2 linked regions of the Oreochromis niloticus genome follow. The protein of the gene in region 2 purifies or fractionates together with the protein of the main gene of each other region. This does not show direct contact. Links are inferred from orthologs where the notes say so. Each region holds a gene or a part of one and is shown on either strand. Other genes may lie near its edges.

Evidence for each region. The genes of interacting proteins can lie anywhere in the genome.
Region 1: the proteins of tsen15 (region 2) and tsen54 purify together in Homo sapiens (affinity purification with mass spectrometry; 4 studies listed by BioGRID and IntAct, counting the BioPlex papers as one, with this or other methods). This does not show direct contact. The link is inferred for Oreochromis niloticus from reciprocal best matches to the Homo sapiens genes TSEN15 and TSEN54.

Annotation. Positions count from the first base shown.
Region 1 is NC_031969.2:32,227,266-32,234,609, forward strand, and holds the start of tsen54 (tRNA-splicing endonuclease subunit Sen54), read right to left. Parts: upstream 3,381-7,344; 5' UTR 3,255-3,380; coding exon 3,139-3,254; intron 1-3,138.
Region 2 is NC_031982.2:10,348,125-10,355,634, forward strand, and holds tsen15 (tRNA-splicing endonuclease subunit Sen15), read left to right. Parts: upstream 1-4,728; 5' UTR 4,729-4,882; coding exon 4,883-4,945; intron 4,946-5,032; coding exon 5,033-5,114; intron 5,115-5,275; coding exon 5,276-5,411; intron 5,412-5,507; coding exon 5,508-5,679; 3' UTR 5,680-6,703; downstream 6,704-7,510. UniProt on the Homo sapiens protein: Non-catalytic subunit of the tRNA-splicing endonuclease complex, a complex responsible for identification and cleavage of the splice sites in pre-tRNA. It cleaves pre-tRNA at the 5' and 3' splice sites to release the intron.

The sequences.
Region 1 (7,344 bases), on a different chromosome or scaffold from region 2:
ACATGTAAAGTCAATGGAAAGAGCGCGATGACACGCGATTGCGCATCCGGCGAACATGCGGAAGCAGATTTGCGTCGCGAAAACGCCAAAACCTGTGAAACGCGCGTCAGTGTACCGCGTGGGGCGCGTTTGACTCGCGAAGAAAACCACGCGTGTCAGATTGTGTGTTGCATTTTGTGCACACGCCCGTACCGCGCCAACCGCTGGAGTTGGAAAATCTGAACTCCGGCGTCAAATCGCGGCCCGACAACCAATCAGGAGGCCGGTGACGTGGCTGTAACCAGGTCACAGGGGCAGATCAAACCAAAGCCCTTCATTCTTCATTCAGTATGGAGGAAAAACTCATCACTGCCGTGGCTAATCACCCAGAGCTGTATGATGCCAGCTGCTACTTCTACCGAGACAGGAATAAAAAGGACCGAGCTTGGAGGCACAGAAGTGAGGAGATCGGGCAACCTGGTAAGTTCATTCATTCTCCTTTTTAATTTTCAGACTGACCCGATAAAGCCGCGCAAAAGGTAGCAAGCCCGCCTACTGTCCCGCTATTTTCCCACTGATGTACAAATACCTTTCCGCTAACAAGATAATGTGTTTATTCAGAGGACACTGAATAAACACTGATGTGTTTATGACGCCGGAGTTCATATTTTCCAACTCCAGCGGTTGGCGCGGTACGGGTGTGTGCACAAAATGCAACACACAATCTGACACGCATGGTTTTCTTCGCGAGTCAAACGCGCCCCACGCAGTACACTGACGCGCGTTTTACGGGTTTTGGCGTTTTCGCGACGCAAATCTGCTTCCGCATGTTCGCCGGATGCGCAATCGCGTGTCATCGCGCTCTTTCCATTGACTTTACATGTACACCTGACGCTCTGGCCGCCTCTATCGCGTTCGGTGTGTGCGCACCGTAACGGTGCGTTCACACCGAACGCCGATTGGCGCGAGCGAAAACGCCCCAAATTTGACGCGTGCACATTCGCACCTCAATGTGTGTCCAAGAAAAATCCATCGCGCGTCAAAATTGCATATTTTGACGCGCGTGAACTGGAAATGTGGGAGGAAGTTTTATTATGCTGTGCTTTTTCTCCGTCTGCGCGCCACTTTCGTGCGCCTTTTTCCCTCGCGGTGCAGGTGTGTATCTCCGAATGAGGGTCATAGTTATGAGTGTTTTTGTGCTGTTTTTTCTATTGGACGTGATGGTTATCAAAACCAAACATGATAAGTTTGGCAAGCGCAGGAGACACAGCACGGAGGAGATTTGTCAATCAGGCTGCAGAATGCAATGCGCATTGTTGAAAGCTGTACGGTGCAATAACAAAAATCAGCGAAATGTGACGGGTGAACAGCGGGACCACTGTATACTGTTTTATTAATAAACAAAATATATTCCTATATGACAACACGCATAAATTAACTGCCTACATTAATTCACTGTAAACCTTGTCCTTCTGACTGACACTCCCCTGCTGCCTCTCCGGGCTGTCCCTGGTCCTCGGGGGGGGAAGTTCTCCACGGTCCGCACCATATTGCCGCTAGTCTCCCGCGGGGTGAGGAAGGGGTCCAGAAACCCCATGACCGCGAAGAACTTCCATCTCTTCCCCGATCCTGCTGCAGACCCACTCCTCTTCTCCTTATTATATGTGTCCCTGAGGCTCTTCCACTTTCTCCTGCAGATGTCCTCTGAATAAACACATTATCTTGTTGGCGGAAAGGTATTTGTACATCAGTGGGAAAATAGCGGGACAGTGCGCGTCAGTACCTAGGTCACAGCCACATCACCAGCCTCCTGATTGGTTGTTGCGGCGCGATTTGACGCCGGAGTTCAGATTTTCCAACTCCAGCGGTTGGCGCGATACGCACGTGTGCACAAAATGCAACACACAATCTGACACGCGTGGTTTTCTTCGCGAGCCAAACGCGCCCCACGTGGTACACTGACGCGCGTTTCAGGCGTTTCAGGCGTTTTCGCGACGCAAATCTGCTTCCGAATTTTCACCGGACGCGCAATCGCGTGTCATCGCGCTCTTTCCACTGACTTTACATGTAAACCTGACGCTCTGGCCGCCTCTATCGCGTGAACGCACCGTAACACCAGTTTTACAACATGCTGGCTGCCTGCTAGTTTGTGCAATGACTTTAGAATCCTTTTAGCTGTTTTTAAGGCACTTCTTAGTCTCTGTACATCATATTTGTCTCACATGGTGCCAGGCTACGAATCATGACAGGCCCGTGGGTCCCAAAAAGCAGCTTTTAGCTTTTATTTTGTGTACATTACATTGCTAAGAACTGCATGTTACTTGTTTCGCTGTCTAATTTGTTCCGTTTCTGTTTCTCAGTTATCTGAAGCATTTTGAGCTGCACAGGTTGTTGTAGTTTATTTGTGTTTCATTTAACTAAAGTGATTTTTCTTGCCCACGTTCAGTTCATACCTGAGTTTTAGGTAACTGTAAAACTTGTTTATCTTTCTAGCAAAGCTGCATCGATGTGAAAGATTATCATGACAAGAAAGCAGCAGTCCCCAAGTTACTGGCATACTTTCCAGGCTTTGCATGTTGGTGTATAACGTTAGTATCACTTATGAAGTCCATCTGCGTGTAATTAAAGTGCCATCCTGAGTCATAAAGTCGTGACTCAGTGCCACGGGATCTCGCCCAGACTTGTTTTAAAAGGACTCCACCCTGATGCTTTGTCTGTGTGCAGAAAAACAAAAACAGCAGACTTCCAAAAAATATTTTACTGTTACTTAATTCCTAACTTTCCTAATGCTTTCTCTCTCTCCCACGGCTGTTTTTACCAAAACACACAACAGAGGGAGACAGAGAGCCGAATACAGAGTGTCAATATTTCAGAAAACGTGTCCAGATAATATTTCAGTAACAGTGTTTCTCTGGAAACAGCTGTGCAGCTTCGTCAGTGCGTTTTAATGAAACTATAGGCGTTTTCTCTTCAGCACGTATTCGCGTTGAAGATAACAATTAGCTTTAAACTAACCCGTGCTACCATGTGCACAAGAACTCTGAGAGTTCCGACCACAGTGATTCAATGACAAACAGACGCTGAGGGAGAACACCAGAGAAAATACCGCTACCCTGCGAATAAGCCCGCTCACAGGTACCGTTAAAGGTAAAAACACACCTTAAAATTTCACTGTAGAACTTCCCTTTATCGTCTGTGTTGTTTTGATCCGCCATGATGCCGGGTCTCCCTGCTACTGCAGCGCTCCTCTGGGTCCTAGTGACCGTCATATTCATCAGTTATAAAGTGGCCATCAGAGGGCGCCAAAGGGCTTAAAAATAAAGCACAGTTTAAAATCAGGGAAGGTTTTTTTTTTCCAGAATACTTGATTTGTTCAGGCCAAAACAAACCAAAGGGTCCCACAAGAAGGCAGAAAATTGGATCAGGCATAAATACTCTCTCTCTCTCTCCCTCTTGGTATGTGTGCTTATGCTTATTGCTCTGTGTGTGTGTGTGTGCTTATGCTTATTGCTGTGTGTGTGTGTGTGTGTGTGTCTACTTACCCTGCCTTACCTTACAGGGCGAGAATGCTGGTGGGATCTCTGCCCTCTCCCTGACACACCTGAAGCAAAACACCTGCAAAACATCTGGCAAACAGCTGACTATGCTGGGATGTGACATTCAGTCTTTGCCTGAGCTTTGTTTCACTGTGGCAGGTATCTTCTTGCTTGTTGCTTATCTGAAAAACTGGATTTTGACTACTCAGTCTTGTGTGCATTAATCTTATTATAATCTTGTTTTGTCTTCCATGGAATTTTATATATTTAATATTTTAATAGTTTGATATTTGTGTTATCATGTGTGTTTCTGTGTGTGTTGACCTCAAACTTTTGCTGCTGTACGTGACAATTTCTTTAACATCTAACCTTGAAACATGTTTATTTTTTGCTCAACAGATGTTTGCTTTCTACAAATCTGTCTGTTACTGTCTGTTGCTGGAAACAGTGGCATTCATCCCTATTTTGGTTTGTTTGCCCATTTGACATGTGATATGATCCAGTCCTGCCAGTAAATAATGCAGCCCACTTCAAGCTACCAATCAAAGTCCTTGTACAGGGCATCAGGAAGCAAGTCTTGCCAGTTGATGCCATTTGGCAATTCACCCTGGCAGTTAATTCATGTACACCCTTTTGAAATGAAACAGGAGAGAGCTTTAACCTGGAAATGACAGGCGAAATCCGAACAAACTATTCAAAATATTTGGAAAAACGACTTCAAGATAAAATTTAAAACACTTGTGTCTCCCAAGAAAAGAAGCCAATACATTTGTGTGTAATGTGTTTTTCTTCCTAAAGGTCAGCAGGGGGCTGCTGCTTTCTGCAGTAGATTGCCTGCTCACCCACCAAGCCAAACGTGTGCCCAGGTAGCGTTAATTCTAAATTAACTCCACTCAAGTTCTCTACCAGTCAAAAGTTTAGACACACCTTCTTTTCATGACTATTTACATTGTAAATTTTCACTGAAGGCTTAAAACTGTGAATGAGCATATATGGAATTATATAGTAAACAAAAAAGTGTGAAATAACTCATAACACGTTTTATATTTCAGATTCATCAAAATAGCCACCCTTCGCTTTGATTACTGTTTTGCACACTCCTTCACCTGAAATGGTTTTCCAACAGTCCTGAATGAGTTCCCAGAGATGCTGAGCACTTGTTGGCTCGTTTGCCTTCACTCTGTGGTCCATCTCATCCCAAACCATCTCAACTGAGTTTAGGTCAGGTGACTGTGGAGGCCAGGCCATCTGACGCAGCCCTCCATCACTCTCCTTCTTGGTCAAATAGCCCTCACACAGCCTGGAGGTGTGTTTGGGGTCATTGTGCTATTGAAAAATAAATGATGGTCCAACTAAACGTAAACTGGATCTGTTGGCATGTCACTGCAGGATGCTGTTGTAGCCATGCTGGATCAGTGTGCCTTCAACTTTGAATAAACCCCCACTAGTGTCACCAACAAAGCACCCCTACACCATCACACCTCCTCCTCCATGCTTCACGATGGGAACCATGCATGTAGAGACCATCTGTTTACCTTTTCTGTGTTGCACAAAGACACGGGTGGAACCAAAGATCTCAAATTTGGTTCATCAGACCAAAGCACAGATTTCCACTGGTCTAATGTCCATTCCTTGTGTTTCTTGGCCCAAACAAATCTCTTCTGCTTGTTGCTTTTCCTTAGTCGTGGTTTCTTAGCAGCTATTTGAGCATAAAGGCCTGATGTAGAGATGTGTCTGCTACTGGAACTCTATGTGGAACTGGGGACACATTCAAAGTTTTAGCAATTTTCTGAACTGACTGACTTTCAGTTCTTTAAGTAATGAAGGACTGTCATTTTTCTTTACTTAGCTGCCTGGTTCTTGCCATATGAATTCTGACAGTTGTCAAATAGGGCTGTCAGCTACCAACCTGACTTCTGCACAACGGAACCTATGGCGTAACCTCATTAAGAAGGCAAGAAATTCCACGAATGAACCCTGACAAGGCACAGCTGTGAAGTGAAACCATTTCAAGTAACTACATCATGGAGCTCATTTAGACAAGGCCAAGGGTTTGCAGCACTGTCAACAAAGCAAAGGGTGGAATCTAAAATATAAAACATATTTAGAGTTATTTATCATTTTTTGTCTTTGCTACATAATTACATATATCTATGTTCCATATATAGTCAAACTTATATATACACCGTTAGTACATAAGATACACCATGTCTTTTTCTCTCTCTCCCTCTTGGTATGTGTGCTTATTGCTCTGTGTGTGTGTGTCTACTTACCCTGCTTTACCTTACAGGGCGAGAATGCTGGTGGGATCTCTGCCCTCTCCCTGACACACCTGAAGCAAAACACCTGCAAAACATCTGGCAAACAGCTGACTATGCTGGGATGTGACATTCAGTCTTTGCCTGAGCTTTGTTTCACTGTGGTAGAGATCTCCTCACTGATCTGCACGTCGTGGTCCTTGTTGTCATCACAAAGATTTCTAATGTGTCTTGTCCTCTGTTTAAGACATCCCAGTGGTTCCCATCAGTTTTGGAAACGCTCCTTTGTTGGATTTTGTAAATAAGAAGCTTTTGAACTAAAAACTGCTGAAAGACTGTAAATAGCACAACCCTCACCTGCATTATAACTAAATCTCTAAACTTGCACTACTGAGTTTTGCGTTTGAGTCTGACCAGACAGATCCAAATCCATTTTATTTATGTAGCACATTTAAAAACAGAAAGTTAGCCTAAAGTGCTGTACAGAAACAAAGGGGTAAAACACAAGATAAAAAACACTGACACTCACATAAACACATAATAATACACATAATAAACATTAGACTTGTAGTCAAGACCGCCTAAACCAAGACCAAGACAATACCAAGACCAGAGGGTATCGAGACCAAGACAGACCGAGTCAAGACCAAGACAAAGTCGAGACGAGACCGAGACAAAAAAAGTCTTTAAACTGCAGCCAGATGCTGCCTCGTTTACGGGTGTCAGGCATATTTATGTGTTTTTGCGATGCACTCACACAGCCCTCCTCACCGCTGTCTACTGGCTGACTCACGTACTGAGAGGACAGACGCACGCTCCACTTGACTGTCGCGTCCATCACCCTCTCTGTTTTTCACATAATGATATTATCCTATATCCTTGCATGTGATTGGCCACAATATGGAGGGATTGGAGCACAGCTGAGCCACTGTGTGAGAGCTGAGCAGCCAAAGGAAATTAAGTGAGGAGCCGGCTCTCGCTCAATGGGAGTCGACACTTCTGATTCATTACAAAGCGCTCTCTAAGCACGGCTCTTAGAGCTGATGCTTTGCGCATGACACATTATCGAACGTTACGTTGTGTGTCATGGATACTGTTGACTCCAAATCTCCCGACCACTATGTTGATCTGAGACAACAAGACTGAGACAGCGAGACCAAGACAAGACCGAGACCATGTAAAAGTGGTCTCGAGACCGGTCTCAAGACCAAGAAGGGTCTTGAGACATCCAACTCTAATAAACATATCAACTCACACCAGTCTAAACGCTATCGAAAAAAGGTGAGTTTTCAAAAGTGACTTGAAAACTGGAATGAAGATGCCTGTCTAATATTTAAAGGCAGCATATTCCAAAGTCTGGGAGCCATAATTGAAAAGGCTCATTCTCCTCTACGCTTTAGCCTAGATTTTGGGACAACCAACAGCAGCTCATCTGATCTGAGGGTCCGCGAAGGAATATATGGCTGAAGTAACTCGGAAAGGTATGGGAGAGCAAGATCATTTAGGCATTTCTAAACCAGCGTTAGGATTTTAAAATTAATTCTGTCATGAACAGGAAGCCAATGAAGAGA
Region 2 (7,510 bases):
ACCCTGGTTCTGCTGGCGGTTACTTCCTGTTAAGAGTGTTTTTCCTGTTGCCAAGTGCTTGACCAGAGATGGTCGTTTGATTGTTGGGTTTTCTCTGTATTATTGTAGGATCTTTACCTTACAATATAAAACACCTTGAAATGACCTCTGTTGTGATTTTGCGCTATATGAATTGAATAGAACTGAATTGAGCTGCAGATTTGTTGGCTGCATATCTGTGATGAAAGTCTCCTGGTTCACCACATCCCAAAGGTGCTCTAATGGACTGAGGTTTGTTAACCGTCGGGGATATTTGAATGCGGTGAACTCGACTCAAGATTGTTCAAGAAACAAGTTTGAGAGTATTTATGACATTCTGTTCCAGCAGAAGATGGAAACACCGTGGCCATAAAGGGATGGATTTTTGGCAAGTAGGCTGTGGTGTTCATACAAGGCACAGTTTGTACCCCGAAGTATGCCAAGAAAATATCACCAGCCTGAATTGTTGATACAAGACGTGATGCATCCATGCTTTTGTGTTGGTTATGCCAAAAGCTACTATCCAAATATCACAGCACAAATTGACACTCAACACACAACGCAATGTTTTTCTAATTTTTATCCAATTTTGGTGAGTCTGTGTAATTTTCAGCCTCAATTTTTTGTTCTCGGCTGACAGGAGTGACAACTGCTGTGGTCTTCTGCTGCTGTTGCCCATCAAGGTTCAATGTGCTGTGCTTTCAGAGATGCTCTCTCGCAGACTTGAACAAATGCTTGTTTGAGTTAATGTTACCTTCTTATCAGCTCAAAGCCATTCTCTTCCGACCTCTAGCATCAATGAGGCATTTTCGCTGGGCAAACTGCAGCTCACTGGATATTTTCTTCTTCTCTGTAAACCATAGAGATGGTTGTGTGGGGAAAATCCCGGCCGATTAGCGGTTTGTGAAATACTCAGACAGACCATCCAGCACCAGCAACTATGCCATGTTCAAAGTCATCTAAGTCACCTTTCCTCCCCATTCTGATGCTCACTTTGAATATATCATAACTCCATCTACATACACAGACCTACATACAGTCCATGTATTGTATACAAACTCGTGCACATTTGTAATTACAGAATGTTTTTTTTCAGGTTATTCAGCAGATTTGTTAAACCTTTATCTTTATGATATAAATAAACTGCAACACAACACAAATGTAGCAATAACTTCTCAAAAACTATGATGCTAAAACTACTTTCCACTACACTTAAAATCATAGCTTAATATGCTAATAGGCATGCTAATCAATGAGTTAATAACAGTAGTATATGACTGTAGTATTTCCCTGAAGGTTTTCAAAGCATGTCATACTTTATGAAATGTCAACCATTTCAATGAGCAGAAACCTCAATTAAAGGTCATAGTTCGGGTGGCTTTAAGCAAAGCACTGTTACCTCCCGTGACTCAGTGCTTTAGCTAACATGGCATTTGAACGTGGTATTAAATGTGGTGTTACTGTCAGCAGAGGAGTTGTAGTATCTGATCAAGGACTCCTTCTTGTCTCTAACAGAGCTTTTTCTCTTGAATTGGCATAGTTCATTTCAATAATGCATTTTCATAGTGTTGCCACCATGAAAAAAAAAATCTGCTTCCTTTAACTACTGATTTTATATTTAATGGCCTTATAACAGACTTCTATAACACAGCATCTATAACAGATATGTTTCTTGCCATGATCTAATAAAACTAACGGACTGTCATTACTACAGTTATCACACCAGATTAAATAAAACAGAAAATAATAGACTTGGAATTCATGTTTTAATAAAGATACTTCTCTCCCTATAAGTGGATATTTACATAGCATGAAATGAAACTATGATGCTATATATTATCACTATCCCATAATTAGAGCCCCACACAAATATAGGTTGGGCCAGGTTACTGACTCCATAATGTACAATGCACTCAGCACTCAGCACTTTTGCAGCAGAGGACACGTCACACCTGAACACACAGAGTTTGGTGCGTTCACAGTAAGTTTCAAATCAGTTTGTGAAGTACATGATTGTAAAGATAGTTTAAAAAAAAAAAAAAAGTCCCATTGTTTCCTTTTCCATTATAGCTCTAACAGATGTTGAATGTAGGTTATATATAGTCTCTCAGTTTCTGTCAGCGTCAACCTTAAAAAGTTTTCTGCATTCATAAGTCCACCAATTTTAACAAGGTCTCCAACAGTACTGGCTGAAACGCAGCTCTAAACCATGACAGACCCTCCACCGTGTTTTACAGACGGCTGTAGACACCCACTGTTGTAGCTCTCTCCTGGCCTCCTCGATACATAATGACAATGGTTTCAACCAAAACTTGTAAATTTAGAGTAATCTCTCCATCACACCTGTTCCCACTGATTTCCAGACCAGTTATTGTGCAATTTGGCATACCTCGGCCTTTTTCCCTGTTTTCCTTCCTTAAGAATGACTTCTTGACAGCCACTCTTCTACATTGCCATATGTTCCTGCATGTTAACTCTGAGGAGCACTTCCAGGCATTTATCACTTAAACTTGGCTGGATGTTTAATCATGGCTACACACAATGTATTGTTCCTAAACAAACTTTATTTTGGAAAAACTGATACACTATTATTTGCCAGTCTTGAGGTGTGGAAGCCAGGATTACTAGGAAGTCCTCAAACAACTTCTGACTTGACTCTGGATCAGCTGGTCTGTTTATATAATTATGGCTGTTAAACGTTTTCTTTTTTCTTTTCTAGTCCCCATTTTAAAAAGTATTCACACCGACACTCCAGGAGGTTTGTACACAAATATTATTTTTCTTGATATCTAAAGCTGGGACTAGACAGCGTTTCATCTCAGAAGAAAAATCACACACCACACGGGAAAGGAAATGAGTAGAGTTAAATGGGGCCTCAGCCCAGGCAGCGAGTTCAACATGACACATGTAAACATCCTCAGAGTTCATATCTCTCTCTGTGTGTGTGTGTGTGTGTGTGTGTGTGTGTGTGTGTGTGTGTGTGTGTGTGTGTGTGTGTGCATGGATGGGGTGCAAGAACGGCACACCTATTGCAGTTTTTGCTGCACCACCTAGAGGGCGACAACAGCCATCATCAATTTAAGTCCTTCCTGTTCACTATAGATAAGTTGTTTTTAACAATGAAAGTCCTCAGTGCACAGTTTAAGTCTGCACATGCTTCCAGATGTTGCAGTGTCAGAGGAAGCAGACAACCTCATCTATAGTCACAGTCTGAATGTCTATAGCCACAGCCTACAGCTGAGAGGAGGACTGTGAAAAATGCAAGCAAGCAAATACATTTTTCAAAACATATTTTAATGGCTTTTCCAGCACACAAATGATCATAACAGAATTATCTCAAAAGATTCTTATACTATGAATCTGCATTTCTCAGATTCATAGGCTCTTCACTACCTACAAGAAGGCCGAACTTTCCAGCAGTATGACAATATGCACTAGAACTTCTCAAGCTTCACCTTCCAGCCAGTGATTGAGCTCTGTGCTCCTCTGGAACTTAACTCATCAGCACCCAGTTTCAAACTGTCAGTAAAACTTCCAACTGGTACCAGTTTCATCAGAGTCCAGAAATCTTGTGGGCATTTTTACTATTATGGATAAAATATTATGAGATTTTCAAATGTCACACTTGCCGTTCGCAGCTGTCAGTGTAGCATTAATGCTATGGATGACATCCTCTCCCTTTGGTCTAAGACTGGTTTCAGATTTCAGGCGAATAAATGGCTGGTCAGCAAAATAGTGCATCATAACCGGAAAGCTTTTCCCCAGCCTTAAATGATGTCATTAAATGTTGTTGGATTTTTGTTTTTAAGGTGAAGTATTCGTAGAACTGTAACCTGTGAATTGGACACACAACTGACATTAAACACCGGAATACAGTAAATCTATTTTTTAAGCACAGGTTCTTGGTTTCAGGAGAATTTATTGGGTAGAGGAAAGGGTGAAGAGAGAGCAAGTGACACAGGAGCGATGCATGGGCTCCGACTGCGAAAACAAAAATGACAAAATATGATTCAATAAAAAAGTGATCAAAGACTGAATATAGACTCTGGTTATGGAGTCAATCACATTATGTAGAATTACAGTAATGTCTCTGTCAGTGTGTGGATGAGAGGCTCCAGGTCATTTAACTGAACAATAATGTCTCTAATAGTGTTTGTTGCAGTGGCGCTCATATATCTAAAGATCCCAGGCTTTGCGAGTCTGCAAATTAAACATCGACATTAATGTTACTGTTTATTATTTTTTGATGAGACAATGTCTCGCTAAAATGAATAAAGTCATCAGGCAGCTGTAAATGCAGTTTTGTATTCTTTCTTTCTTTTATATAAGATCAGTTGGTGGAAGCAGTTCATTAGATGTCAGTAAAAAGTAATTATAACGATGCAGGAACTAATTTAGTGCATAGAGTACTGAGCAAAACTCCCGAGTCACCACTCATCTTTTTATATTTTGCAAACATACATAAAATCAAATTAAATTAAATAAAAACTCCTATTTTTTTCAGAGTCTGGAGAAGTATTGTTAGGACCACTTTAAAAATAATAGGAGAGGCAGTCTCCTCGGAAGCAAAATACAAAGAAATGATGTGTGGCTCAAAACCTTTGCCCAGTATTTACCTATAAGTTAATTTTAGGACTAGCATGATGAAAAGAAATGATTGACTTAAAAAAAAAAAAAAAAAAAAAAAAGCCCCCGAAAGGTGATGTCTCCTGTCTGCGTACGTGTTTTGCACGGACAACAAAAACGTTTCCGCACGGACGATTTTAACAGTCGCACTGGGTGACAGCGTGCCGTTTCAACAGCATGGCGTCACGTAGTGGTTATTGAGCCGGTGTTTCGCTTGCAGCTTTGTTTGGTAACGAACATGTCGGGAGCGTCAGGCGGAGAGAAACGCCCTCCTCCGAACTGGATCCTGCAGCATCCCGCGGTGAGTGTTAGAGCAGCTCCGTGTGTGCAGGCAGGGAGTCTGCCCGGAATGTACTGTGAGTAATCTGTGTGTGTGTGTGTCTCTCAGTACCAGCAGATGAAGGACCTGCAGGTTGGGGACAGCGCTCAGGTGCATGCAGCTTTTCTTGTGTACATGGATCTTACTGAGGGTGAGTTTGGCAGGGTTCTGAAACACGGGAGTCAGTTTGAGATTCCCTGTGTGGTGTATCCTGGACTCCTTACATCTCCCAGCTCTTCCTCCTTTCTTACAGAAGGAAAAACTTGATGTCATAACTTAAGCTCATACTCACACTGAGCTTGCTCTCTGCAGTGCGGCGCTGGAAGGAGGTGTCCTGCGTGAAGAGTCCTGAGCTGCAGGTGGTTTTACTGGAAGCGAGGGAGAAGGAAGGCGCACCCACTCTGACGATCCTTCCCCTGCCTGCTCACCAGTCTGTGACTCACAAAAGGTGTTAAGACGCTGGTCAAGCTCCCACACTTTCACCCTCACAGGTTACCCTCCCAAACCTCTGAGTCTTACGGCTTCTTCCTTTTCTGCTGTGCAGCATACGACACGTCCTGGACAGAGGCTTTCCTATGCTGCTGTGTGCAGTAGCCGCTGACTCCACGCTGGTCTACCAGAGGATGACTGACGGCCTGGTGACGCCGGACCCTCCTGTAGGACCTTTTCAGGATGTGGGACGCCGTCAGCACCGGAAGAGACGGCAGCAGCGCTGAGCAGCTGACTGAGAATGTGATGTATTGCTCAAAAATGGAAAACAGCCCCACAGGACCCCTTAAGCGGGAGTATGTGATTGTTAGGACGACCTTGCGGAGACCTTTGGCATCGTGAAGTTCACCTCAGATGCATGTTGATAGGTTAAGGCAAAGAGATAAAATTAACCTTAAGAAAAGGGTGCAGAGATTAGAAGTAACATTCCTTTTTTAATGACAGTTGAACTCCTGTTACAATCTGGAGTGGTGTGGTTTGTTTGCTGCAGTGTATGCACACTACAGAGTTGACTAGAAGCTTTCACAATGAAATCAGGGATGCCATATCTCGTTTCCATGCCTCCATAGAAACCTTTCAATGGGGCCAGATGAGTCTGCATCCACAAAACTTACAGCTACGAAGCCAGTGAATATATATATGATAAATGTGAAAAATTACAGGAAAAGTAGTTCCTGAAAAGGTAGTTCATTACCCAGACTGTCCTGCAATTCTGAAATATAAAGTCTTTGTTAATTTAAGGAAAATGATCTTTGTTTGTTGTAAAACAAAAACAGACATTTCTATAGTAGATTGTAGGAAAACAGGAACTTATCTGTCATTTGTGGTGTGAATGGCAAAGCTGTAACACTAATGAAGATACAGCTAAAAGTTCATAATCTATGCACTCCTTTGATTTTTCCGAAGCTGTCCAGTGGGTTAGATCAGACACTTCATTTCATTATTTTCATTTTGTACCTTTTCTGCATTTGTTCATGAGGGAAATGTCTCTTGTTTGTCTAAAAAGCAACGCAGAAAGTAGACACAAGGGGATAGTGTCTCAAGTCTAATATTTTGGGGGAGGCTGTGTGCACGTGTCCCCCTGAAATTTACGCCTATGGTTTATAATCCATGTCAACACATTGGTTTTTGACATGAATCCCTTAAACACAATTATTAAGACCTATTATAAATGTCAGTGATTGTTTTATTTATTGTAAAAAAACAAATGTGCCTTATTTTGAAATAAACATCAGGTGTGAGAAAGACTAATAGTTCAAAATGTATTCTTTCTTAATTTTTTAAAAAAAAGGACCTAAGGTAAACATTGCTTTATTTTTTAAAAACTTGGTGCCAATGCTGAAGTATGATTTGAGGGATGTTATGAATGTTAAAGGTGTTTTTCCACAGCAGGCATTTTGGCTGGAAATGGTAAGTAAACAGGTGTTACTAAATGCAGAGCTTTGATTAATGTGATTAGTAACACCTGTTTCAAAAATGGCTGCTGACGAAGGTCTGAGTTAGCACGCCAACTAACTCAGCTTGTCGATAAAAGTTGCAAATTGTTTCCCGCTTCAGTTTGTAGACTTTATAAGTACCAAAAAAATCGTTAAAACGTTCTTTTATTAATTTTGGAGTGCAGTGCAGAGATACCTGTGTTGGTGTATATAGTGTGTTTGCCAATAATTCAACAAGCAGAAGTTGTGCTTGCAATCATTTTGAAATTGAGGCCATTAAATTTTGTGTCCACCAGAGAGCACTGATGATATTTTTCAGCACAAAGGATGAAAGATGTCAGCAGTGATATTAAATAAGTAATTATTGCTGCTCATCAATCTGGGAAGAGTTACAAAGCCCTTTAAAACACTTTGATGTCCATCCTCCTCCTGTGAGAAAGATAATGATGCGATCGTCTCAGTAGTGGACATCTCAGTAAACTAAGACCGTGCAATCTCAGACTCTACATCAGTGTCAGCATGTTAAATGTTAAACTTCATGACATCAAAGTTAGAAACAGACGGAGCCATTATGGCCTGTTTGGAAAGGTTATCAGGAGAAGACCTGCTCACTTTGAAAGAA